Linked DNA regions of Pelodiscus sinensis. The protein of the gene in region 1 purifies or fractionates together with the protein of each later gene. This does not show direct contact. Links are inferred from orthologs where the notes say so. Each region holds a gene or a part of one and is shown on either strand. Other genes may lie near its edges. The genes, in order: POLR2H, POLR3K and CRCP.

Region 1 (3,747 bases):
GCCATAGTTGCTCACCTCATCAGTGTCAGGGAGCACACTGGCGGCTACAGGGAGCGCTGGCTACGGCCTCCACTCACCACTCTATGCTCAGTGCCCCGGCATTCCCCTATGGACCCACTAGCAACTCTGAGCAGGACCATGCTGTCCCTCCCTTAGCTACCCAAGCTTGGGACATTGTGCCCTGGTGGGGCATAGAACCACCCCCCTTACCTCTTGTGGACGGCAGGGGAATGGTATGGGGGTGAGGGGAGGGCAAGGAGGACACTTACAGGCGCGTGGCTGCCTCCGTGGACGTTTCGTCTCCCTCAATCCTGTACACCTTGCCATACATCACGTACTCAAACTGGTCGGCCCTGCGTGCAACAAGACAGTGGGGGTGGAGGGAGGTACATGGCCACAGATCAGACCCTCTTGCCCAACGCAGGGGAAAAGCACCACGTGGTTCTTGGAAAGCCACCTGGTCTGCTTTGCACGCCTGAGATAGCCCCCAATGCAGCCAGCCCCATAAGCACAGTCTGGCCTCTACCTCCACAGCACTAAGTGAAGCTTGAAGGCACGTGCAATCCGGCCTTACAGCACCACCAATAGCCACAGCTAGCTCAAGCAACCCCCGGCGAATATGGAGGAGCTACAGAACCAGGGCCGCCAAGAACAGATAGGGGCTGCTCAGATACAGCAGTGACGAGGACTGTCTAATTACGGATAAGAGAGTTTAGAAACCAAAAACTCAACAGGACAGATAAAAGTGAAAGATGACAAGGAAAACAGAGAAAATGAACGGCGGCCGACAAGAGAGCAGAGCGCGGGCACAAAAGCAAAAGCGGCAAACGTGCGAGGAGACAGCAGTGCCCACTTGCCGACTGACCACAGTGGGAATCTGCCAGACAAAGGCTGGGAACCAAGGGCTGCTCTGGTTAGCCCCTTCTCCCTGGTGTTTAAAGGCCAACGTGATCAGACAGGGATGCTGACCCAGGGCAGCTCCCCAGCTCCACGCTTTCCCCACTTTCTTTACCCCTCCGTTCACTGACCTCAGCCTGCATGAGACACTACTGAATTCTTGAGCTACTCCCTGCCAGATGCTGCCCCGTTACCTGGACGGCCTGTCATCGGTGGGGTTATACTCCCCATCATCCAGGGTCCCATCTTCATACAAGGTGCTGGCAATAACCAGACGGAATTTGTCACCTGCAATACCCAACAGAGAGCAGGTGAAAGGCACGCTCCCAAGGAGGCCAGCTGGGCACAGGAAGTATGATCCCACACAGGGGCTACGTCGCCACCGGCAGCTTCTGTTCTTGCGCAAAAACTTGCCTGCTGTCTACACTGCACGCGCGTTCTTGCGCAAGTAAATTTACAGTACAGCGTTGTAAAACAGGGCTTCTGCCGGCAGAGTTATTCCGCTCCCCACGAGGAATAAGCCCTCTTGCGCAAGAGCTCTTCCACAAGAGGGCAGTGTAGCCGGGCCACATGAATTTCTTGCACAGGAAGCCCCTATGGTTAAAATGGCCATCAGAGCTTTCTTGCGCAAGACAGCGTCCACACTGCCATGGATGCTCTTGCGCAAAAGCACATGCCAGTGTAGACGCGCTCTTGTGGAAGACTTTTTGTGCAAGAACTCTTCCGCAAAACAGTTCTTGCACAAGAAGCTGCCGGTGTAGACGTAGCCAGGAAGGAACTCCGAAACCAAAGCACACAAGGCATACAGGCTGCATCTTACTGCAACGGTGCTTGATGGCAAAGAGAAGCAAGCCACCTGTGAACTGGCTCCTCGCCCCGATCTGCACAGTCACTCAGGCACACAGTATTCAGGGCTCCCAGCTCCAAGGAAGGGCAATCAGGGCATTCAACAGCACATCCAAGTGCCAGGTGATGCGCTCTGAGTAGCATGATCCCTAGAGGTCATGGAGCTGTCAGGCAGGTGAAGTGCTTCCCCTCACATCACAGCTGCATGTGACCACTGGATCTAATTGAAGGCCTCGTTCCTTCAGAACAGCAGCATGCAGACAGGGGCTTACTGCACTTTAAATCACACAGCCTTTTCCTTAATTAAACTTCATACCCTGGGTAGACAAGCCCATAGTGTTATGGGCACTTCCGCCAGCAGCTGGCTCTAGCTCAGCAGGGGCTGCCTGATACAAGGATTATCTGTTGCCAGCCTGAGGGCCCCCTACTACGTACCCAGGTCCACGGGGTAGATCTGTATGTTCACATCCAGGATTAGGTCCATCTTGAAAGACTCACTTTCACAATGCAGGCGGGAAACTGGGAGAGAAGGAGCAGAACCAGTGACCCGGGACGCAGTTTCGGTTCACGTTCACACCCAGATCTTGGGGGAGGGAGGTTTGGACCTGTTTATTCAAGGGCCTTGCTCCCGACCCAGCCCCAGATCCGTGGGGCGCTATGGGGCCCGGCCCCAGATCCGTGGGGGGGAGGGGGCGCTATGGGGCCCGGCCCCAGATCCGTGGGGGGGAGGGGGCGCTATGGGGCCCGGCCCCAGATCCGTGGGGGGGAGGGGGCGCTATGGGGCCCGGCCCCAGATCCGTGGGGGGGAGGGGGCGCTATGGGGCCCGGCCCCAGATCCGTGGGCGGGAGGGGGCGCTATGGGGCCCGGCCCCAGATCCGTGGGGGGGAGGGGGCGCTATGGGGCCCGGCCCCAGATCCGTGGGGGGGAGGGGGCGCTATGGGGCCCGGCCCCCTGGACCTGGGGGGGGGGGGCGCTGACTCACCCCGGTCGAATTTCTTGCCCTCGGGGTCGATGTCCTTCACGTCGAAGATGTCCTCGAAGAGGATCCCGGCCATGGCGCGCGGCGGGCGCAGGGGCTCGGGGCCGGCGGACCCTCACTTCCGGCCAGGCGCCCGCTAGAGCCCACGCGGCGCCGCCATGTCAGTGCGGGGCGGAAGCACTCCCCCGGCCCGGCTCTACGCCGCGCATGCGCACAGGCTCCCTCCCGTCTGTTGGGCGCTCGCAGCCCCGCCCCGCCCCCTGGTGTCCCGGACGCCTGGGTTCCCTCCCCGGCTGCTCCCAGCACCTGCGGGCAGCGCCTGTCGGGGTGTCCGGGGCCCCGTCCCATAGACCCGCCCCCAATCCCGTCCCCCCGCAAAGCCCGGCCCCCGCGACCCTACACAAACACCCAGGGCGAGGCCCATCCCCGCACTGCCCGTGGGGGGGCTCTCCCGATCTCCCGGGGGGGGGGGGGGACAGGTGATTAGGTGGGGGAGGGGCGCCCATTGGTCCCAGGGCTGGGGGGAGGGGCGCCCTTCAGGCCCCGGGCTGGGCCCCATAACCACCCGCCCCCCCCTTCGGGTACCTGCTGCACGCGGGGCTGCGCTGCGCTCCCAGGCAGGTGCGGCGTCAGCTGCCAGCCCAGCCCCTCCCTCTGCTTGGGCCCTGCTGGGCCAGTGACTCCTCCATCCCCGCCTGCCCTGCCGTCCCGGGGCAGGGAGCGCCCCCGGGGGACGAGAGGAGCCAGGTGTCCCTTGGCCTGGCTGGCTCCCGCCCAGAAACGCTGCCCCTGCGGCCGGGGGGAGGAGCCGGTGCACCGACGGATCCTTGCGGAGGCTGCGTGGGAAGCCGCGGGGCCGGGGCAGGTGGGGGTCCCTAGCCATGTGCACCGGAAGGCTGCCCGGCTAGGCACCTGGGCTCTGCGCAGCAGCGATGGCCCCTGGCGGCAGAGACGCCGCAGCCGGGTTCTGAGTCTTGCAAGGAGCCGCCACCTCCACCGCGGCGGGAGGAACCCGGCAGGATCT
Region 2 (3,747 bases), on another chromosome or scaffold:
TTTATCCCCTGCTCACTCCAGCTTCTGACAGACGAATGCTTCAGAGCACGGACATGGCTGTGATTTGCAGGGGACACAATTCAACACCGTCCCTGCATGTGCCATTTAACATGACAACCGTGTACTTAGAGCATATATGTGATCTTAGAAGGTAAAGCTACACTGTAATGAAGACAGGCCGTTCTTGCGCAAGAACCCGCAGAGCAGCCTCACTGCCCGCCTGCTCTTGTGCGAGACTTACAGTACAGCGGCAGAAGATGGGGCTTCTTGTGCAAGAGCTACGCTCTTTTCTAACAAGCGTAAGCGCTCTCGCGCAAGAGGGTAGTGTGGACGCGCGGCAGGAGTTTCTTGTGCACGAAAGCCGGATGGCTAAAATGGCTCTCTTGCGCAAGAGAGCATCCACACTGCCAGGGATGCTCTTTCACAAAAGCACGTGGCAGTGTGGCCGTGTTCTTGTGCAAGAACCCGCCGGTGTAGAGACAGCCTAGGAGCGGATCTCAGAATCCCTGCTCCAGTTTGAGCCCACATGTCTATGCCGCAAGTTTTAGCCCCATAGCCCGAGTCCCGCCAGCCAGAGGGGATGGACTCAATGCTGCGGGCTTTCCAGAGCAGAGCGGCCCCCCAGCGGCTCCCAACACCACCCCGCACAGACGGCGCAGGCCAGTGCGGGGGACTCACGCATCACTTCTTCATCCGCCTTGCACACGCGCACAGTCATGGCCTGGCCGTACTCCAGCGCGATCTGCGAATTGATTTCCTCCACCGTGACCTGCCGGGAAGCGAAGGGCCGATGAAGCGCCCGGCGCCGGCAGGGCTCCTGCAGCCATGGGGGTCTGACCCCCTCCAAGGCTGTATCGCCCCGCCCCCACCCGCAGTCACGTGGGGCGCGAGCTCGGGACACGCCCCCTCCCCCCGTGCGACTCGTTAACGGTCAGTGCCGCGGGGCAGTCACGAGGCCGCGGGCGGGGCCGGGCGCGCGCCGCGCGGGCGGAGGGGAGGCGCTACCTGCACGGGCAGGTCGCAGAGCAGCGGGTCCTGCACGAGCCGGGCCAGCCCCTCCTGGAAGAGGTCGAGCACCTCGGCGTGCGCCAGCTCCTCCTCCTCGGGGCCCGACTCCGCCATCGCCGCCGGCAGGGCGGGGCTTCCTGTGACCCGCTCGGGGGAAGAGGCGGGGCCGCGCCGTGACCCGGAAGCAGAAATGCTGCTGTTCTGCCCGGCCTGCGGGAACGTGCTGGTGGCCGAGGAAGGCGCGAGGTGCCACCGCTTCGCCTGCACCACGTGTCCCTACGTGCGCAACGTCACGCGCAAGGTAACCCCCGCCCCCCCCTGCCACCTCGGTGGGCGGGGACTGACAGCCCCAACGGCCGACCTGCTGGGGCAGAGCAACCAATCAGAGCCTGGGCGGGGGTTGCCCTGAGGAGGCTGCTGGGGGCGGAGCTAATCGCTAGGAGGGTGGGGCTGATGTGGGCGGGGCTCCTGTCGTGCCTGAGCCCCGCCTACCAGGTGGGGGCTGGGCAGGCACTTCACAGCCTGTCCCCACAGGTGAGCAGCCGCAAGTACCCCAAGCTGAAGGAGGTGGACGATGTGCTGGGCGGCGCGGCGGCCTGGGAGAACGTGGACTCCACGGCGGGTGAGCGCCGGCCTCTGCGCTGCTCTCCGACTGGCCTGGGCCAGCAGCCGGCCCCGGGCCCCCTTCCAGGAGATCTGGCTCCAGCGACAGGCCACCTAGCCCATATCCTTAGAGCCCTGCCGCATCCATAGCCCCCACAACGAGCCGCAGACACCTGCACGTACCACCCCTCTGCGGATGCAGATACCCGCGGATTTGCAGGGTTCTAGATTAAAAAATTTGCATCCACATCCGCAGAAATGAGCTGCTGGTCTCCGCTTCCCCAGATACTTGCGGACATAAAGCAGGTATCCGCAGATTTGCAGGGCTCTACGTATCCTGTCCAATTACATAGCCAGCACCAGGTGCTTTGTAGGGAACAAATAGAACGTGTGGTTATCACGTGATGGATTTTGTCACCCATTCTCAGTTTCTGGCAGTCAAGCTAGAGCCATTCAGAGCATGGGGTTGTGTACCTGCTAGTTTTGCCTAATAGCCAATGATGGACTTCTCCTCCATGAACCTCTTTTGAAACCTTTTATGGTTTTGGCCTTCACAATATCCCCTGGCAGTGAGTCCCACAGGTTGTCTGTGTTTTGTGAAGAGACACTTCCTTCTGTTTGTTTTAAATCTGCTACCTGTTAACACAAGAACCTGGAGTCACCAAATAACATGTGAAGGAGGAAATATTTTCTTATTTACTTTCTGTATATCAGTCATCATTCTATAGACTTCTGTCACATCCTCTCTGTTATTTCTTTTCCAAGCTGAAATACCCCAGGCTATTTAATCTCTCTATAGAAGCTGAGTCATACCACGGATCATTTTTGCCGCCCTTTCCAATTTTGATCTATTTTTTTTGAGAGGGGGTGACCAGAATTGCACATATTATTCAAGGTGTGGTTGCACCATGGATTTATGTAGTGGTATTATATGTTTTGTCTTATTGCCTATCCCTTTCCTACTGGTTCCTAATATTGTCACCTCTTTTGATTGCTGCTGCACACTGAGCAGATATTTTTCAGAGAACTATCCACAATGACTCCATGGATAGTTAGTGTTGCCCTTGTATTTTAGAACCAGCTAGTCCCCAACATGCTAAATTCAGTGCCATTAGGGGGTGTTCTCAAGCACAGTGGCCTGAGGTTCTCATCTACCCCTGAAGGCCCTTTTAAGTTCTCTCATCATGTAAAAAGTGAGCCAGTGGACATTTGGAAATCTCTCTTGAATGGCTTGTGGAAGGCTGCATTCTAGTCCATCAGGTAGAGTGGCCCTCACAGTGAGCTCCCCTGGCAGAATGAAGAATTTGCTTTATTACCCTGGGAGCTGTACTCACTAGAGTTCTGGTTTCTTTTACAGAGCCATGTCCCAAGTGTGAGCATCCTCGCGCCTACTTCATGCAGATTCAGACCAGATCAGCTGATGAACCCATGACCACCTTCTACAAGTGTTGTAATGCCCAGTGTGGGCACAGGTGGAGGGACTGACTGGTTTCAGATTTAATTTCTTCAGTGTTGTTTTTGCTGTTTGTTTGAAAATTCCCCAGCTGAGTTGTATGATATATGGTAATGTGGAAATAAATATCCCTGGTTTCAGTTGTTGCATGAGTTTAAATTAACATTGACTGCTGCTAGTGCAGGCATTCACCATAATCTGATGGTCCAGGGTGAAGGTTATGCATATACTGCACATTTTCCTAATGGCACACACAGCAGAACAAAGAGCTGCCTCTGTTTAGAGCTGTGGTGTCTAACCAGTTCTGAATCAGTAGCCAGTATAGTGGTTGCTGCTATAGCAAACTAGCCCCTCAGCCAGCCAAATAGCCACATGTGGCTAGCGTATTGGATGCTATGGTGTAGGGTGGTGGGTCACCAGCGCCTCCTACAATGCAGAGGCTAGGTCACTTGCATCACCACGAAGTGTCCACCCAGCTCTTGTCTCTGTTGTACTCAAGAGTTGGGGGCACAGGATCCAGTAGAAGGTTGTAGGGAAAACAAGTACGTGTAGGCTTCCCGGCTCCCAAATAAAGAGGTAGAGGCCTGTATGCCTGCAGCTGGAGCAGCAGAATATTAGCCCCTTCTCCCCTTGATTTTCCATGTGCAGGTTTATGCACTAGTTGTGTGAGAGATTTCTGGTAG
Region 3 (3,747 bases), on another chromosome or scaffold:
CTGGTGAGGTATAGTGCTCTTGCCTATTTTTTAAACATAACATTTATTTATGTATTTTAAAATATAATTATAGTATTTTTTCCCAATTAAGAATGTCCTAATTAAGTAAATTTGCATAACTCAGAGCAAACTTGTTTAGCTTAACGATAGTGAATGGCAATTATTTTTTTTGTTGATGGGGATAGAATTATTATACATTTCACTTAATAGGGAAGCATTTGGCAGGTGTTGAGTGATGGGAAACTCTAAACTTCAGTCTGCTAATATGGAACTTTTCAAATAAACATTAAAAGAACACAATAAAGATGAAATTTAATGACTATTATTCTTTCATTTGCGTTCTGTGCAGTATGCTTTTTTTTAATAATCTTGTGTTAAGGGTCCACCTTCAGGGAATTTTTCACTATGATTATTTAGGATGTTAAGCCAGTCCAGGGGCTGTCCCAGTTAAGATGATTCTGTTGTGCAAGTTAAACACTTGATGATACAAATATTCTTACACAAATTAATTAATTGTGTAAGAATATTTGTAATAGCTATGTTTGAAGTTTGTGAAAATAAGTAACTCCTAAAGGCAGCAATAGCTAGGAATTGTAGAGGATTTAACAGAATTAAATCTTGAAGATTTTATTTAAAAAATTCTCAGAATTTACTGAAAAATGTCCGTCTCGTCCCGTCCCGTCCCCCCCCCCCGATCAGTAAAAAAGAGAGAATGGATTTGTGACCGTTTCTTTTGAGACATGCATAATTTTCTGTTTTTCAGGAAAGATGCAAATGCTGCATTGCTGAGTAACCTTGAGGTAAGTTAATTTGCTCCATGATTTTAAACTGACAACTTAACATCATCACAGCGAGTCAAAATATATTCTTTTTGATGTCAATGAAAACATGGACCAGAGCAGATAAAAATGTCTCCAAGAAATCTGGGAGACCTGTTTGTGACTTTTGCTTTTTCACATGTGGATTTCTTTGTTTTTAATTAGCTTGGTAAAATGGGGGCTCTCATCCTGGTTTAAAAGGTGACTTAGAAATGATATTATTGGCACTGTTTGCATGACAAATATGAGCAGGGTTGGATTAGGGATGTAAGCAACTAGTTGACTACCTGATAAGCAAATGCTTATTGGGTAGTTAAGTAGGAACTCGACTAGTTGCTCCCCCCCACACTTGCTGCCTTTATCAGAGGGATGCAGCAAGGGGGCGGGGAGAGCACCGTCTACGTGGGGGGGCAGGAGAAGTAGAAGGCATCGGGGAAATGGCACAAGTGGGGATCGAAACAGTCCCACTCGTTCCGGTTGGACTGCTGCTCCTCTCCATTTGAAACGTACAAGAGCTACCTGCGGATTCCCGCTACTTTTCCCTTTGAAATATAACATTTCAAAGCAAGAGGCTCAACAGGATAGCAAGCACCCCCCTTACTGACTAATCGAATAGAAATTCCATCAACTACTCTATTAGCGAATTAATCGAAATTTAACATCCCTAGCTTGGATCCCAAATCAGTAATAAACCCCCAAATGTTAGAATTGTGTGTGTTCTTAAATCCATGAGAAAATAGTCCTTCAGAACATTTTAATTATCTCTCTCTTCATTCACATGTTTATGTTAATTTTCTGAATATCCTTACTTTGCATGTAGTATTCGTAATCTAGGGTTTGATTCTCCACTCTTTTACACCAGTTTTTCATCTGGGAAACTTCCCTGGTTTCTTTGCAGTTATACTTTTTACTCATCAGGCCCAAAATCTTTAAGTTGTCAACTTTGTATCCATAGAAAGTGATGCCTAAGGCCAGGTCTCCACTAGGGGGGCAAAGTAGAAGTAAGGTTCACAACTCCAGCTATTTGAATAGCATACCTGAAGTCAACATACCTTAGTTCGACTTACCCCATCATCCCTACTGAGGGTGTCGACAGGAGAAACTCTTTCATTGACTTCCCTTACTCTTCATGACCTGGGGGAGTACTCGGGTTGACATGAGCGTGACCGATGGTCCATTTAGTGTACCTTTATTAGAGCCACTAAACTGACCTCTGGGAGATGGTTCTCTGCAGCATTGATCTCCCAGTCAGTGAAGACAAGGCCTAAATGGAAAACCAGTTTTAAGAGAGAGCCAAGAGAATTATACATATAAATCAAAAATGAATACTACAAAAAATAGAAACATGGACAAATTGCTAAGTATGAGTACAGAAGAATAGCACATGCATAGAAGGACAAACTCACAAAGACTAAGAGCCAAAATGCATAATTCGTAGAAGAGGCCATAAATGGCTGTAAAAAGAGGCTCTATAAGTAAAGAGTGAGAGAAAGACGAAGGAAAGTGTAGACCCAGTACTTAGTGGGAAGGGGAGTTAAGAATGGATGCCATTAAGAAAGCTGAGGTGTTAAATGCCTATTTTATTCACTCTTCACTAATAACGTTAATAGTGAATAGCTATTTAACACAGTTAATATTAGCCAGGGGAAAGGTGTGCGAACATTAGGTAAATTAGGTGTATTCAGGTAAGCAGGGCCTGATGAAATTCACCTTAGAATTAGGGAGCTAGATGAAGCAATCATTAGTGATTATCTTTGCGAGCTCATGGCGAACAGGTGAGGTCTCATATCTGGACAGGTACAGAATACTTATCTTTAGAAAGAGGACCCATATAAAGCAATAATATCAATATGTGAAAAGATGCTGGAATCAATTATGTAAGCACTTACTGGATAATGAGGTAATAAATAATAGCCAACATGGATTTGTCAAGAATAGGTTGGTCTGCCATGATTTGATTTCTGTCTTTGAGTTAGTGACCTAGTGGATGGGAAGAAGCTGTAGGCATGATATATATTAGGGTATGTCTATACAGCACACTTATTTCAAAATAAGCTATTCCGGAATAGTTATTCCGAAATAGTTTTTCGAAATAGCACATCTACACTGCAGGGAAGCCTCAAAATTAGTCCAAACTAGGCTTCCCTAATGTAGATGTGCTATTTTGATTTAGAGCCCCTGGAGGCACTGAGGAGGAATAACTTAGAATGGCCTTGGTGAGGAGCTATTTTGAAATAGCAGGAGTGCAGAGTCTCCATATGCTTATTTCAAAATAACTATTTCGGAAAAGGCATTTTTCCTAGAATGAGGTTTGGGACTTCAATCACCCTGACATCTGTTGGGAGACCAATACAGCAGTACACAGGCAATCCAGGAAGTTTTTGGAGAATGTTGTGGGGATAACTTCTTGGTACAAGTGCTGAAGGATCCGAACAGGGGACGTGCGCAGCTTGACCTTCTGCTCACAAACAGGGAGGAACTAATTGGGGAAGTAGAGGTGGGTGACAGCCTCGGAAGCAGTGATCATGACATGGTAGATTTCAGGATCCTGACCAAAGGGAGAAAAGAGAGTAGTAAAATACACACCTTGGATTTCAGAAAAGCAGACTTTGAGTCCCTCAGAGACCTGATGGGCAGAATCCCCTGGAATGCTAACATAAAGGGGAAAGGAGTCCAGGAGAGCTAGCAGTATTTTAAAGAAGCCTTATTGAAGGCACAGAAAGAAACCATTCCAATGTGTAGCAAGAGAAGCAAACATGGTAGGAGACCGGATTGGCTTACAGGGGAAATCCTTGGTGAACTTAAGCACAAAAAGGGAGCTTATAAAAAGAGGAAACTTGGACAAATGACCAGGGAAAGCTATACATGTATAGCTTAAGAATGCCGGAGGGTTATCAGGAAGATGAAAGTGCAATTGGAATTGTGACTG

Evidence for each region.
Region 2: the proteins of POLR2H (region 1) and POLR3K purify together in Homo sapiens (affinity purification with mass spectrometry; 3 studies listed by BioGRID and IntAct, with this or other methods). This does not show direct contact. The link is inferred for Pelodiscus sinensis from reciprocal best matches to the Homo sapiens genes POLR2H and POLR3K.
Region 3: the proteins of POLR2H (region 1) and CRCP purify together in Homo sapiens (affinity purification with mass spectrometry; 3 studies listed by BioGRID and IntAct, with this or other methods). This does not show direct contact. The link is inferred for Pelodiscus sinensis from reciprocal best matches to the Homo sapiens genes POLR2H and CRCP.

Annotation. Positions count from the first base shown.
Region 1 is NC_134720.1:48,355,899-48,359,645, reverse strand, and holds the start of POLR2H (DNA-directed RNA polymerases I, II, and III subunit RPABC3), read right to left. Parts: upstream 2,940-3,747; 5' UTR 2,800-2,939; coding exon 2,727-2,799; intron 2,263-2,726; coding exon 2,179-2,262; intron 1,186-2,178; coding exon 1,092-1,185; intron 354-1,091; coding exon 270-353; intron 1-269. UniProt on the Homo sapiens protein: DNA-dependent RNA polymerase catalyzes the transcription of DNA into RNA using the four ribonucleoside triphosphates as substrates.
Region 2 is NC_134726.1:4,941,185-4,944,931, forward strand, and holds POLR3K (DNA-directed RNA polymerase III subunit RPC10), read left to right. Parts: upstream 1-1,175; 5' UTR 1,176-1,198; coding exon 1,199-1,309; intron 1,310-1,542; coding exon 1,543-1,630; intron 1,631-2,968; coding exon 2,969-3,096; 3' UTR 3,097-3,204; downstream 3,205-3,747. Other genes in the region: SNRNP25 (U11/U12 small nuclear ribonucleoprotein 25 kDa protein), read right to left, coding at 679-769, 1,006-1,122. UniProt on the Homo sapiens protein: Core component of RNA polymerase III (Pol III) which synthesizes small non-coding RNAs using the four ribonucleoside triphosphates as substrates. Can mediate Pol I proofreading of the nascent RNA transcript.
Region 3 is NC_134731.1:20,054,847-20,058,593, reverse strand, and holds the start of CRCP (DNA-directed RNA polymerase III subunit RPC9), read left to right. Parts: upstream 1-740; coding exon 741-800; intron 801-3,747. UniProt on the Homo sapiens protein: DNA-dependent RNA polymerase catalyzes the transcription of DNA into RNA using the four ribonucleoside triphosphates as substrates.